3 linked regions of the Arabidopsis thaliana genome follow. The protein of the gene in region 1 interacts with the protein of each later gene in a pairwise test. Each region holds a gene or a part of one and is shown in the gene's direction. Other genes may lie near its edges.

Region 1 (5,067 bases):
CCTTTTCAATTAAAAGTGAAAAGAAAAAAACGCATGCCATTTACTTGTTTGAGTAAGTTACTCATTATGGTATATGCTCTTCAAGAAAACAAATCAAATACTACTTTTTCGTCACGTATCTTTCTTTTTCAGCTCACCAAAATATAACTTTCAAGGAATCATATCAAAACTTTACTATTTACATGGATTTTGTGCATTTGCATAATTTACGTATACAAATCCCAAAGGTTAGCGTTTTTGCCAACTATATATATAGATACTAGCTAGATGATTATCCAGATTTACTTCTTCTTTTTTAATAATATATATATCGTATATCCATTAAATGTGTAAACCTTTACTTCTAACAGATTTAGAGATCTATAAAACGTATACACTAAGAATTATTTAGAAAAACTAGAAGTTTGAAATAAGTTATTGTCTCTCTAATACACCAATATTGCTTCTTATGTTCATTACAATTTTACAAATGTATGCTTACCAGATTACAAAAGCATGTTGAAAATTCGAAGTTATGATACCAATTTATTAGTAGCGAATGTAAAAAAGACTAAACATAAATTGGACGTAGTCCACCAAGATATATAATGTTATAATTAGCGGGGTAAAATATTGATTTAATACTGGAGGCGTAATAACATCTTGTTTCAGAATTCCAACAACGTACGAGTAAGAAAAACAAAAATACAGTTCTCAACAGACTAATTGGACGTAAAACTCTAGGCCAGCCAAACTGACAAAGCATATGACAAAAATATAAATGATAGAATTGGCAATTTCAGAATTTTCCATCGATCATGCTAAAATGAACATTAGTTGGAACCCAAAAACATTTTTGTTTATCTTGCACATACAAACAGAGCTATAGGTTACGTTATGACTTATGATGTTCTGATTTATTGATCAAATCACACATCAGTTTTTTCCCAACAGATATCAATTTCATTATGTAATGATACATATAGTCTGATAGTATTATTCGTCTGTTGAGAACAACGGCTTTTTGTTGGATACAAGTTTTTTTGTTTCGTCAAAACAAGTTTAATTTTGGACTTCATCACTTCAATAAGAAAAAGAAACCAACTGAAAATAAATGCACCGTATAAATTTAGTTCACCAAATTATATAAATGTGGAAAAGAATCTTTAAAGGTTACGCCACTATTGAACATAGATCAGGAAAATGCCGAAAGTGAAGAAGATGGCGACTTTTAACTTACAATATTAGCAATATTTTTGGTCATATCGTATTAAAATTGATGACCTACCATTTAAAAATGGTGGATATAACTTCTTCTAGCATATGTTACTATAATGAATGATCAATTCTGAATTCTCATACATATGACTTCACAACGGAAACTTTTTGCTTTAGAGTTTCATAAATAGTTTACGACATACAATTTTTCATGCATTCCACTCACGAGAACAACTTTATACGTAACATGCAATTGCAAAACTACAATAATCGGGTTTACATGTAACATAGCATCTAATAAAAATCTTCACTTCCTTTATTAAAAAATAATAAAAATTGAAAACAAGAAGACCAAGTTCAAGTTCAACGAAGGTCGTCACAAATTATTTGAAGACCGTGTGCGAAACCATTTTTTAAACTCATTGTAACCTTTTAATTATTATTTTAACTTACGTATGTATTGGTTAAAACTTAAAACACTTGCCTGATTACACTACTTTTTTTTTTTGTTGGAAATCTTTTCAATTTATTTTGCTCGATATACTTCTCAGGTTGTATACGTCTAAATCTTGAGGAAAATTCATATCTTGCAGAAATATAATTCTCGTACCAGAATACGTGGGCACCCACAAACACTGTGGAACAACAGTAGAAGTTTTTGATCGTCATTGTTCCACTATGGATGCAAGTGGTGGACATATATAGTTATGTGTATATATATACTAGTAAATGCACACAATCGATATAACAAGTTATTCTAAAATTTAACCCAAAAAAAAAAAAAGAGAAGAAAAAGACTCAACATGGTTCATGCTGATGGTCATAATTTTCCCGGTTCGGATCCAAACCCTCATATGAACAAGTTCGCTTTCGGGTGTGCCATTGTTGCTTCCATCATTTCTATCATCTTTGGATATGGTAACATACTAACATTCTCTACATATCAAACAAAAGTTTTCTACATATATCATATAAAGATATATTCAATGGAATTATATTAATGATTTTATATTAACGAATATTTTTTTTTTTGTAATGGTGTGTTGTCCTTAGATACGGGAGTTATGAGCGGAGCTCAGATATTTATAAGAGATGATCTAAAAATAAACGACACTCAGATTGAAGTTTTGGCCGGAATCTTGAATCTTTGTGCACTCGTCGGATCACTAACGGCGGGGAAAACGTCTGACGTCATCGGCCGACGTTACACCATAGCTCTCTCCGCCGTGATATTCTTAGTGGGCTCAGTTCTTATGGGTTACGGCCCAAACTATCCTGTTTTGATGGTCGGACGATGTATTGCCGGAGTTGGTGTAGGGTTTGCTCTCATGATAGCTCCGGTTTACTCTGCCGAGATATCCTCTGCGTCACATAGAGGCTTTCTCACTTCTCTACCTGAGCTTTGTATTAGTCTTGGGATTTTACTAGGCTATGTCTCGAATTACTGTTTTGGGAAACTGACGTTGAAACTTGGATGGAGATTGATGCTTGGAATCGCAGCGTTCCCGTCTTTGATATTGGCTTTTGGGATTACAAGAATGCCCGAGTCGCCGAGGTGGCTTGTGATGCAAGGTAGGTTAGAAGAAGCCAAGAAAATAATGGTTTTGGTATCCAATACGGAAGAAGAAGCTGAAGAACGGTTCAGAGACATCTTAACCGCTGCGGAAGTAGATGTGACAGAGATAAAAGAAGTTGGTGGCGGCGTTAAGAAGAAGAATCACGGTAAAAGTGTTTGGAGGGAGTTGGTGATAAAACCGCGACCTGCGGTGCGTTTGATCTTGATAGCGGCCGTTGGGATACACTTTTTCGAGCATGCGACGGGGATTGAGGCCGTCGTGTTGTACAGCCCGAGAATTTTCAAGAAAGCCGGAGTTGTTTCGAAAGACAAGCTCTTACTAGCCACGGTCGGTGTAGGTTTAACTAAGGCCTTTTTCATAATAATAGCCACTTTCTTGCTCGACAAGGTAGGTCGTAGAAAGCTCCTGTTGACCAGTACGGGTGGGATGGTCTTCGCATTGACCAGTTTAGCGGTTAGTCTCACGATGGTTCAGCGATTTGGGCGGTTAGCGTGGGCATTGAGTTTAAGCATCGTCTCTACGTATGCATTTGTAGCTTTTTTCTCCATAGGGCTTGGACCTATCACATGGGTGTACAGCTCCGAGATATTCCCGTTGAGACTTAGGGCTCAGGGAGCGAGTATAGGTGTTGCGGTTAATAGGATCATGAACGCGACGGTCTCAATGAGTTTTCTGTCGATGACGAAGGCGATCACGACAGGGGGCGTGTTCTTCGTATTCGCCGGAATAGCGGTGGCGGCATGGTGGTTCTTCTTCTTTATGTTGCCGGAGACGAAAGGATTGCCATTGGAGGAGATGGAGAAGCTTTTTGGTGGTGGGGGTCCTCGTGGTGATCGTGACGGACTTGAGATTCAAACTAAAACCATCTCTATTGGGGGTTTCTCATAAGAGTTTCTCACAATTAAAAAAATAAAAATAATAAAAATGAAGGAGAGAGAGTGTAGAAAGATTCTCAGAAACTTTGAGATACTCTCTACAACCCATCATGACAATTCGCTTCTCACTATTGGTTCAACTTTTTAACAAAAATATTTTTTTAATCAAAAATTCAAATTATAATATAATATTAATTTTTTTTTGTTTGAGAAACTTTGTGGGTTTCTCATGGATGGAGATGCCCTTAGAGAGTCAATAATTAGGTTAGATTATCATGGCTATGTAGAATAATTTTTAAATCCAACATGATTTGGCATATCTATTATAAGGTGTGATTTTTTGTAAAGGACAAAGTATGATTTTTATATTCATCCCTTTTTACTGTAGCTAATGAGAATCTACAACCTAATAAAAAACAATAACAATTATTTAATTATAAAATCTAATAGTTCACCAAAACAAAATCATATATCGGTTTGGATTTATAAGAGAGGGTTAAAGTTTAAATTTTATGATTAAACGAAGTTAAATACCAGTTTAGGTTTATAAACGATTTTAGATTTTAGAATCAAACGAGGTTAAATGTCGGTTTAGAGTTATAAACGGGTTTGGATTTTACAATTAGATGAGGTTAAATGTCGGTTTGAGTTTTAGAAAGAACGATTTAAGTTTAGATTTTACAATTAATCGAGTTTAAATGTCGGTTTGGATTTACAAAATAGAATTAGAGTTTAAATTTTGTAATTAAACAAAATTATATATCGGTTTGAGTTTATGAAATAGTGGTTAAGATTATAGATTTTATAATTAAATGAGTTTATTTATTTATTAGGTGACATATTCTAATTGGCTGAAAGAGGTGAATGAAAAGGTGAACCAAGAATTGTTCGATTTTTAACTACACATCTAATTCTAGACTCTAGAGTATGCATATTAATGTTTCCAGAGATCAGAAAGTGCTTAAACAAAACATATTGATCACTTCATGGTTTTTAAGTCTTAGTTTAATTGATGGAAAGGAGAGGATTACCAATACTGAAGTAGAGTCATAGTTGATATTTGAGGGGTGAGAACCCTGAGATTCGTAAAGAAATCGATGAACTTGTGCGTGAAGAAATTAGTTTGATCATGCTCAAAGGTCTAAATAATAAAAAACCTTGACATTTGTTCCCAATTGAAGTCCTTTAATTGTGAGAAAAATTATGTTGCTCTAGAGCAATATTGAAGAAAAAGGAGACATATCACATATGGGAAGACCTGAGGAGCAATGATTTGATTTGACGGACCAAAATAAACCAGAGATTTTCCTGACAAATTAAGGTAATAATGCATGAGGTTACGTGGAAATGAATCAACAATCGTTAGCTCCTAATATCACGGAGCCAAAAAGAGAAAAATTAGACCGGAGATTATTACA
Region 2 (5,472 bases), on another chromosome or scaffold:
TTCTGTGTACATCTGTTTTGATTTGCATATATATTGGCTTAAGTGGCAAAGGTGCATGCACTATTTCTATTTCTTTGATAAAAGTTTTATGATGCATGCATTCTTACCAGTGATTTCTTTAAAAGGAGAAGACATTTGTTTTGTAATAGTGACGAGAATGTAGACAGAAAAGGAAAGGAATCAGCACGTGTTCATCGCTCGACACGTGGCCAATAATAGCATTGGATTCAGAAAAAAAGAAAAAGAAAAAAGCGAAAAAACCTGTATAACAGGAAAAAAATACAATCTGCACCAGCCGGGAATCGAACCCGGGTCTGTACCGTGGCAGGGTACTATTCTACCACTAGACCACTGGTTATTTATTTAAAAGATTTATATTGGTATAAAACCTTGACCATAAAATGTTCCTAGTGCATCCACTAAGATCAAATTCATATTAATAAACAAAAACATAAAATTCAAACCGATATAGCAAGATTGCTGTTAGTTTTGTCTTCTAAATCTGATAAGTGTTCGTTATTGTCGAGGTTATGTAGCTAGTTTATATATTACTTGTACTAAATTTCAATAGGGCAATCAAAATATACGGATTTTCATGTGTATATATTTTTCTAAATTTGCGGTTTACAAAGAAAAGTTAGTGGTTGATCATATTGATTTCTTGAAAGGGAAATATTACCAATAAAATGATAAAATTGCCAAGAAAAATTAGTAGTACGATCGATAATTTAGTGATATTGGGATCCAAAGAGATGATCATGCACTTAGTTAAGACTCCATTTTCTGATAAGAGTTAAGTGGCGGTAGACCCACAAAGAAATTTGATTCGGTATTGTTATTATTGAGTAGAAAAACAAAGATGGAGTGTTTAACTAAATCATGTCTAATAAGTAGCAAGGTAGGTCAATATAACGTTTTACAAACGAAAAATAGCATTGCATATTTAATTATCTACCAAATATCTTAAGTCAGTCGAATAAACTAACTCATTATGTTATCAAATCAGCCGCAAATTGTGCCGTTTAAGTCAATACTATTTTTAACTTAGATATTTAGTGAGTAGACTTCATACTTGCATAGTCTAGTAGTTATCATTGTTTAATGCAATTTTTTGGTTTTAATGTAAACTTATACTACTATTTGGTCATGTAATCTCACTTTCTAAAAAACCAATGTAATCATCCATAATAGAAATAAAACATTTATTTAATATAATTAACTAATTTTTAAACATTAAAAAGAATAGATTTATTTTTATACATAAAATAATAGAAATATAAATATATATATATATTATTATAGGTTGTTTATTGTAATCCAAAAGCAGAATAAAATTTGGGATAGGTATTAAGAGTCATAAATCTTGAAAATAGAGTCATTAATTAATAAAGCTGAAAAGGAAAGATTAAAAAAAGAAGAAGAATCCTCTAAAATTGAATTTGGTAAGAGTCCACGTAGGTCAAGAAGAAGAAGAAGAAGATGTCGTGCTCGTGTTGTGTTCCAAACGAAAAGCGTCTATGTTCTCTTCATGTACCGTTTCTGGGTCCCACCCCCCTTTCCTTCTTCACTCTCCCCCCAATTCCTCCCTCTCTCTCTCTCTCTCTCTCTCTCTCTCACCAAAACGTAAATCTACTCTCTCTATCGCAGCAGACACAGAAAAAGAGAGAGCGAGAGACTCTGCTCACACACATATTTACTTCCCTAACTTGTCTCTCTCTCTACACATTCTGGTGAGTTTCGTAAGATTCAACAATCGTTTAGACTTCTTCTTCTTCTTCTTCTACAGCTTTTACGTTTTCTGGAAAAGAGATTTTTGGCTGATCACTACGTTGCAGGTATATGATTTCTCAAATGTGAGATGGGTTTGATGTTCCTTTTCGCTATTTCTCATCTGATTTTGAATTTTCTGCGGATTTTGTGAGGAATCGGTAGATTTTGATGTTTGTTCTTGTGGGTGGTTCATAACTTCATACATTTAGGGGATTAAAAGAAAATTAATTTACAAATTCGGTCCTTGTTGTGAAAAAGATTTATAATCTAAAAGACATTAACTTTACTCTCTCCTTGAACAAGTTTTGAATTTTGAATCTTTTTCTGATTTTGATTTTCACTATGTTCATAGGTAATTGCACAATTCTGGGTATACAAAATCCAAACGTTACGCATATTGAATTGAAAAATCTCGATTTTGAGTTCTGGGTATGAATAAAAATCTCACCTTTTTAATTAATTCTTACTCAGGGAAACAGTAATCGATGTTAAAGACATTGTTAGTCCAATGGCTTGTCTTCTTCTTCTTCTTCTTAATCGGTTCCGTCGTCACCGCCGCAGAAGACGACGGTAGCTTGTCGTTATGCAACTGCGACGACGAAGACAGTCTCTTTAGCTACGAGACAATCCTCAACTCGCAAAAAGTCGGCGACTTTCTTATCGCAATCGCTTATTTCTCGATCCCAATCGAGCTGGTTTACTTCGTGAGCCGCACCAATGTGCCTTCACCTTACAATTGGGTGGTCTGCGAGTTTATAGCCTTCATTGTTCTCTGCGGCATGACCCATTTGCTCGCTGGTTTCACCTACGGGCCTCACTGGCCTTGGGTCATGACAGCTGTCACTGTCTTCAAGATGCTGACTGGTATCGTCTCTTTCCTCACGGCACTCTCGTTAGTCACTCTCTTACCATTGCTTCTTAAGGCTAAGGTTCGTGAGTTTATGTTGAGTAAGAAGACCAGAGAGCTTGATCGTGAGGTTGGGATCATTATGAAGCAGACTGAGACGAGTTTGCATGTTCGTATGCTCACTACCAAGATTAGGACGTCTCTTGATCGACACACCATTCTATACACTACGCTTGTGGAGTTGTCCAAGACTCTGGGGCTCAAGAACTGTGCGGTTTGGATCCCGAATGAGATCAAGACGGAGATGAATCTTACTCATGAGTTAAGACCGAGGATTGATGATGAGAATGAGAATGAGCATTTTGGTGGTTATGCTGGGTTCTCGATACCGATTAGTGAGTCTGATGTTGTGAGGATTAAGAGAAGCGAAGAGGTGAATATGTTGAGCCCTGGTTCTGTGCTTGCCTCAGTGACTAGCCGAGGGAAGTCAGGTCCTACGGTTGGGATAAGAGTCCCTATGCTTCGGGTTTGTAACTTTAAAGGCGGGACACCAGAGGCGATTCACATGTGTTATGCGATATTGGTGTGTGTGCTTCCATTGAGACAGCCGCAGGCTTGGACTTATCAAGAGCTTGAGATTGTTAAGGTGGTGGCTGATCAAGTGGCGGTTGCAATCTCTCACGCCGTGATTCTTGAAGAATCTCAGCTTATGAGAGAGAAACTCGCTGAACAGAACCGAGCGCTTCAGGTTGCGAGGGAGAACGCACTGAGAGCTAATCAAGCCAAGGCTGCGTTCGAGCAGATGATGAGCGATGCAATGAGGTGTCCTGTGCGGTCCATTCTCGGGTTGCTTCCTTTGATACTTCAGGATGGGAAGTTACCCGAGAACCAGACTGTTATCGTTGATGCAATGAGGAGAACCAGCGAGTTACTTGTACAGCTTGTAAACAATGCCGGAGATATAAACAATGGGACAATCCGCGCTGCAGAGACTCATTATTTCAGTTTGCATTCGGTTGTGAAAGAGTCAGCTTGCGTGGCGAGGTGTTTATGCATGGCAAATGGTTTTGGTTTCTCAGCTGAAGTTTATAGAGCATTGCCTGACTACGTCGTAGGTGATGATAGAAAGGTCTTTCAAGCGATTTTGCATATGCTTGGGGTTCTAATGAATCGAAAGATCAAAGGGAATGTGACTTTCTGGGTTTTTCCGGAAAGCGGGAACTCAGACGTATCAGAGAGGAAAGATATTCAAGAAGCGGTTTGGCGACATTGCTATTCGAAAGAATACATGGAAGTTAGATTCGGATTCGAGGTAACTGCTGAAGGTGAAGAGAGTAGTAGTAGTAGTAGTGGTAGTAACCTGGAGGAGGAGGAAGAGAATCCGAGTCTCAACGCTTGCCAAAACATTGTAAAGGTTGGTCATTTGTGTTTTGTATGTAAATGTGCTAATGACTTGGTTTAACACTTTTATCTTGTTTTGTGACAGTATATGCAAGGGAATATTCGGGTTGTTGAGGACGGTCTAGGTTTGGTGAAAAGCGTCTCAGTTGTTTTCCGGTTTCAACTCCGGCGATCGATGATGTCGAGAGGCGGTGGATATTCTGGAGAAACGTTTAGAACCTCAACTCCTCCGTCTACTAGCCACTGATCATTGACGTCAGGAAGGGGGGGAGGGGAATGTAGTGCAAAAGAAAGATTTAAGGGGTGGAATCTGAGAATTTGTAAAAACAGTAGGGGCTTTAATGAGATTAACAGAGAGAGTACTAAAACGTTGTCGTTCGGTTGTAAAAACCTGAAAGTTAACTAGGTTTTAACCTATCGTGTAGGCAAAAGGTATGATGCAGACTTGTTGTAACTTGCTGGTGATAACAGAATTCAAAGTAAAAAAATGTGTCGGAGGATGTTCCTTACGGATTTGTGATTTACAAGCCTACCAACTCCTTTGTCAAATATTGTGACGTTTTAGATGAAGCTTATAAATTTATTGATTTCTGATCCAGAAACCGTATACAACTTGTATCCACAATATGTATCCAGGTACATATTAACTTCGACCTTTTAATTAACTTTTGTTTTTAAAAGGTTTATGTGATTTTTTTTTTTTAACATTGAGGTGATTCGTGCGACCTCTCTTTCTCTCTATTTATCTCTCTTTCTTTTCCTCCGTCGTCTTTTTTGGTTTGTTCTCTCTCTGTAGAATCTCATAGGAGCTGCCATTAGCCCATTCAACGAATTAGCTTCTCTTTGCTCTTTCTTCCACCATCTCAGGTTCGCTTCGATCTACAACCAATAAGCTTCTTCTATATCTCCTCCTTTGTTCTTCGGATTTTGCGAGGCTTTATGTTCCGATTACAGTCTTTCATTTTGATACCACACCGATTTTGATTTTCCCCGATCGTTGATTTCATCTGGGCTTTGTTTTGTTTTCCGATGTCTTTGATGAAATTATGAGGTTTCTCTGGATATTTTAGCTGATTGAAATGATATATTGCTTCGCCGCCCTCTAATTTTTCGGCTGATTTTTTTTTGTTTGTTTGTAATTTTACCAATCTAATTTTGAAAATTGGAAATTAGGGTTTATTGCCCATCGATTATCTGATGTGGGTTTTAAAGGGTTTCGATTTTTTAGCCATGAATTCGTTATACTCACGGATAAAATCTAGAAATGATTGCGGATTGGTATAGTTTGAGAGAGCCAGATCGTTGAATATCTTTGTCCATTTCAAATCATGACTTGGCATATTGTTTTCTGGGTATACATAATTGTGGGGATTACAGAATTCAAAATCTAATTTATTTGCTCCAATCGTTAATTGCTGATAGTTGAAGGAGAGAGAGAGCTTTGACGAAACAAT
Region 3 (4,632 bases), on another chromosome or scaffold:
ATAACCAAAAGATGATTTAAGTTTAAGAAGAAGATACAATCGAACAAGTGAATTAAACAAATTAAATAGTTATACACGATATAACACATACATACATATATATAACACATACATACATATATATATATATATTTGTTTACAATATTATTTGATGGTTTTATATAAACAAATATTAGTCTATTTACAGGTAAGTGTCTTGTATAAAGGCCTAATTTGAGCCAGTTTTAGTCATGTGATTGCATTACATCGAGAAGAGAACCATATATGAATCGATTGCTCTCGTCCGTTTGCACTTTGCATTATTGCGTTATTTTGTTTTCTTGGAATTAGAGTTTGTATTTTGTACTGCACTAGCCATGCCAGCTAAATGAATATACCAGGAATCTTTTGGATACTTTTTTTGTTTATCAATATTTTTATTTCGGACCTTAATTAAAGGAAATTGATCTTGGTCGGAAATATTTATATATTATCTAGAAAATTTTAAAAGATACGTAAAACAAGCTTTTCCTTTATGAAAAACGATCGATTATTATTTAATAGAAATGTATAATAATTTCATGTTAAAAAATGTTAACAGTTTTCAATAGAAATATCGGTTACGTTGCATAAATATTTATCTGACTACAAAGTAACGTTGTGTCAATATAGAGTAAATGACATAACTCCTAAGAATACAAAAGGAATAACTACTTGTCATGAATATTGGAATAAAGACTTATAACGTATTTTCAACTATCTCAAATCATGATGAATACAAAGTAGCCGGCGGTTTTTTCACTAAAAAATAAAAGATGGCGGTCCAAAATTTTATCAAATTAATGATCTTTAATTTTTGTTTGCATCATTTATTAAATTCTCATGTGTATTCTTTAACGATGCAATATAAAAATTACAAGCAAATCATAAGAATGTGGATATGACGACTATGTTTGAAAAGTCGTGATCGGTTGAGATTGCGTTGCAAAGTGGTCTACTCAGCCAAAATACTTCTTAATCACATCAATCGACCTTCAGGTTTGGAGTTTTCTCCATTTTCAATTTTTTCGAATCCTAGTTTTATTAATTTTATCAATCACATGTCCATATTTGATAACTGATATATAACCATACATAATATATAAATAATCAATTTCTTTTTAGGCCTAAAACATTAGGCAATGTCCAGATTTTGATGGCCGTAAAAAATTATTAAGTAGTATTGTTTTTTCGGGAAAGCAATGAATGACCTAAGTTGGTGATTAATTCAACCATTATACGAACACCATTGCAACACAATCTCACTCACTTTGATAGTTATGGTTTTTTTCTATTAATACTTTATGCTGACTACTTTTCATCGAATATTAACTATAATAGCAACATTATGAACTACATTAATCCTCAACTCCTTGTTATTGTCACAAATATCATGACACGTGTGATTTGCATGCCTCGCGACGATTACACTAGAAAATTGGACTCCAAGTTGGACCATAGAAAAATAAAAACACTACATACAAATTGTAGTAACATGAATATCTCGTAAAACCAATAATAGTAGATATAGAGTTCTTTAAAAACACTTTATCAACTTCGATTTTTCCTCCTTGTGTGAATAATTGAATATAACCTCCCCCACTTAATATATTTCGCATAAAAAGACAATACTTTCCCCTACCCACATCCGCATGAAATAAAAAGGAATCTTTTATTTTCCGAAATATTAACAATTCAAAACTTCCACACAAAAAAAAAAAAACTACAATTTTCTCATTATTATATCAGAAAACCTAACACACCTCATTATTGTTCCACTTCATACCCATTTGCTTCCTTGAATGGCAAGTCTCTTCTCCTCACGTCTCGGCTCTCAATCTCTTTCTCTCCTCATCAACATCTTCTTCATCTTTCTCATCTTTCTCCATTTCGCTTCACAAACTCCTCCTCCCTCCGGATCCATCCAAACCTTAAATTCCTTTGCCGGCGGTGACAGTGACAGCTGCAGCGGAGGACTCGCCAGCCTTGACGACCACCGTTCCAAGTGTTCTTACATAAGATCTCAATCAAAATGTGGCCCACAAGGTTACATAGACTATCTCAAGATTTTCTTCTGCATCTTCGGACAATCCCCTGTTTTGGGCCATCTAGTTTTATCCGCCTGGTTGTTTGTTCTGTTCTACTTGCTCGGAGACACGGCCGCGAGTTACTTCTGTCCTTCTTTAGACAGCTTATCTAAGGTTTTGAAGCTGTCTCCTACAATGGCTGGAGTCACGCTTCTCTCTCTTGGCAACGGTGCGCCTGATTTGTTCTCAAGTGTTGTCTCCTTCACAAGATCGAATAATGGCGATTTTGGGCTCAACTCTATTTTAGGCGGTGCGTTCTTCGTCTCTAGCTTCGTTGTTGGGACGATTTGTGTGTTGATTGGATCTAGAGATGTCGCTATCGACAGAAATAGCTTTATCCGCGACGTGGTTTTTCTTCTTGTCGCTCTTTGCTGTCTCGGTTTGATCATCTTCATAGGCAAAGTAACCATTTGGGTCGCTCTCTGTTATCTCTCCATTTATCTCCTCTATGTAGGGTTTTTATCGGTTTCACATTTCTTTGACCGCAAGAAACGTATGTCCGATCAGATTCTTCGTAGCAGAGAAGATTTGGCCGAGATGGGTGTTTCGTTGCTAGGCTATATAGCAGAGGAGAAGCTGGCTTTGCCAGAGAAAACAACTCAAGAATTCAAGATTGTGTTTGAAGATTCTCCAAAAAGGCACCGATCTTGCTTCTCGGTGCTAGTGAGCATAATTGGACTACCTCTATATCTCCCCAGGCGGCTCACAATTCCCGTCGTTTGCGAAGAAAAATGGTCAAAGCCTTGCGCTGTGGTTTCCACGGCCATCGCTCCTGTTCTACTAACCGAACTTTACTGTTCTCATTACAGCGGGTCACAAAGAAACCTAATCTTGTACATAATATCCGGATCTATCGGGCTAATCGTCGGTATCTTAGCTTACTTGACGACAGAAAAATCACATCCGCCGAAGAAATTCTCATTAGTTTGGCTTCTAGGAGGCTTCACGATGAGTGTGACATGGACATACATGATAGCACAAGAGCTAGTCTCATTGTTAATATCCTTAGGTAATATCTTTGGTATAAGCCCATCCGTGCTAGGACTAACCGTCCTAGCTTGGGGAAATTCTCTAGGCGATCTTATCGCGAATGTGACCGTGGCGTTTCACGGAGGCAACGATGGTGCTCAGATAGCACTTTCCGGATGCTACGCAGGCCCGCTATTCAACACGGTAATTGGACTAGGTGTGCCACTTGTCATCTCCTCGTTGGCCGAATACCCCGGGGTCTACATCATTCCTAGTGACAATTCGTTGCTTGAGACACTAGGGTTCTTAATGGTAGGCTTGCTTTGGGCACTTGTGATAATGCCAAAGAAGAAGATGAGACTTGATAAGCTTGTCGGTGGGGGCTTACTCGCTATTTACCTCTGTTTCTTGTCCTTGAGGTTGGCTAGAGTTTTCGGAGTCCTTGATACCGACCGGTGAATTTTATAGTAATGTAAATTTTGTTTTATTTGTTTTTGTAATAGTAGTTAATTCTTAAAGAAAAAAATTGCAAATAGGTCAAATTTGTGGGTCTTAATTTATTCCTTAAATGAAAAGATACTTTGTGCATAGTTGAATTACTATCGAGAGGGATGGCTAAATTTGTTTTGTTGCTGAACACTCATTTTCTGTCAAACTCACTTAGTACCTCACTAAAATTAAAAAAGCTTTGGATTGTTGTTCTAGGTTCATTGTTCATGGATTGTAAATAGATACGACATCATTAATACTAATATGCGGTCTAATTGGAATTCACAGTAATTGTTCATTTGATTATTTAAATGAATCTTATCTTCGTTATGATATAAGGATGTCATTTTCTTGAACTTATAAACTTACCGATCAAGATTCTTAAACATCTGAAGATTTTCTAGTCCTGAATATTAGCTACTAAATTTCATGTATAGTCTGATCTGATAGGTAAAATAATAAATATGATCAATTACGCTTTATGATCTTCTAGTTAATTTATGACTATAATCAAATAAAATAATAAATTTGATTATTTATAAATAATAAAGAGATTACGCTTTATGATCTGATCTAATTGTTCATTTGATTATTTGGTCGAATGAGACGCTTTATGATCTTCTAGTTAATTAGATTTTGATGTTTTGAATAATAAATAACGTATGATATCATTGATTTTGATGTTTGGTTGTTTTTTGGTTTAGCTTAGCTCAAGTGCTCAACCTTAATATTCCAAATTTGGAAGAAAAAAAAATCTGATTAATTTTTTTAAAAAAGGTTTCAATTAGGTGAAATTAACCGGAATGTATCAACTACGGCCAAATTTATCATATATGTTTAAATCCCTAAACAATTGTGGTAACGGATGCAAAGTGTCCCATTGCATTTTGAATTATTAGAAAATGGCCAAAAATTGGAGTTATCCTATTTCCAAGGAAACAATTTGCAGACAAGAAAAATGTGCCAAATTATTATGCACACGAGTCATGATGAGATTAGGAATAAAAAACACATCTTATCTTGAGTTCATTGCAAATTGGCAAAAAGAGACAAGCGTTGTCGCTTCAAA

Evidence for each region. Proteins that work in one complex are often made in the same cells at the same time.
Region 2: the proteins of AT2G18480 (region 1) and ERS2 interact in a protein complementation assay, tested with the Arabidopsis thaliana proteins (one large-scale study listed by BioGRID).
Region 3: the proteins of AT2G18480 (region 1) and CAX7 interact in a protein complementation assay, tested with the Arabidopsis thaliana proteins (one large-scale study listed by BioGRID).

The regions. Positions count from the first base shown.
Region 1 is NC_003071.7:8,008,177-8,013,243, reverse strand, and holds AT2G18480 (Major facilitator superfamily protein), read left to right. Parts: upstream 1-1,966; 5' UTR 1,967-2,000; coding exon 2,001-2,115; intron 2,116-2,250; coding exon 2,251-3,662; 3' UTR 3,663-4,143; downstream 4,144-5,067. UniProt on the Arabidopsis thaliana protein: Plasma membrane sugar-proton symporter.
Region 2 is NC_003070.9:1,153,909-1,159,380, reverse strand, and holds ERS2 (ethylene response sensor 2), read left to right. Parts: upstream 1-1,567; 5' UTR 1,568-1,835; intron 1,836-2,241; 5' UTR 2,242-2,255; coding exon 2,256-4,031; intron 4,032-4,103; coding exon 4,104-4,265; 3' UTR 4,266-4,617; downstream 4,618-5,472. UniProt on the Arabidopsis thaliana protein: Ethylene receptor related to bacterial two-component regulators. Acts as a redundant negative regulator of ethylene signaling.
Region 3 is NC_003076.8:5,901,539-5,906,170, reverse strand, and holds CAX7 (calcium exchanger 7), read left to right. Parts: upstream 1-1,638; 5' UTR 1,639-1,820; coding exon 1,821-3,533; 3' UTR 3,534-3,777; downstream 3,778-4,632. UniProt on the Arabidopsis thaliana protein: Vacuolar membrane-localized H(+)-dependent K(+) and Na(+) transporter.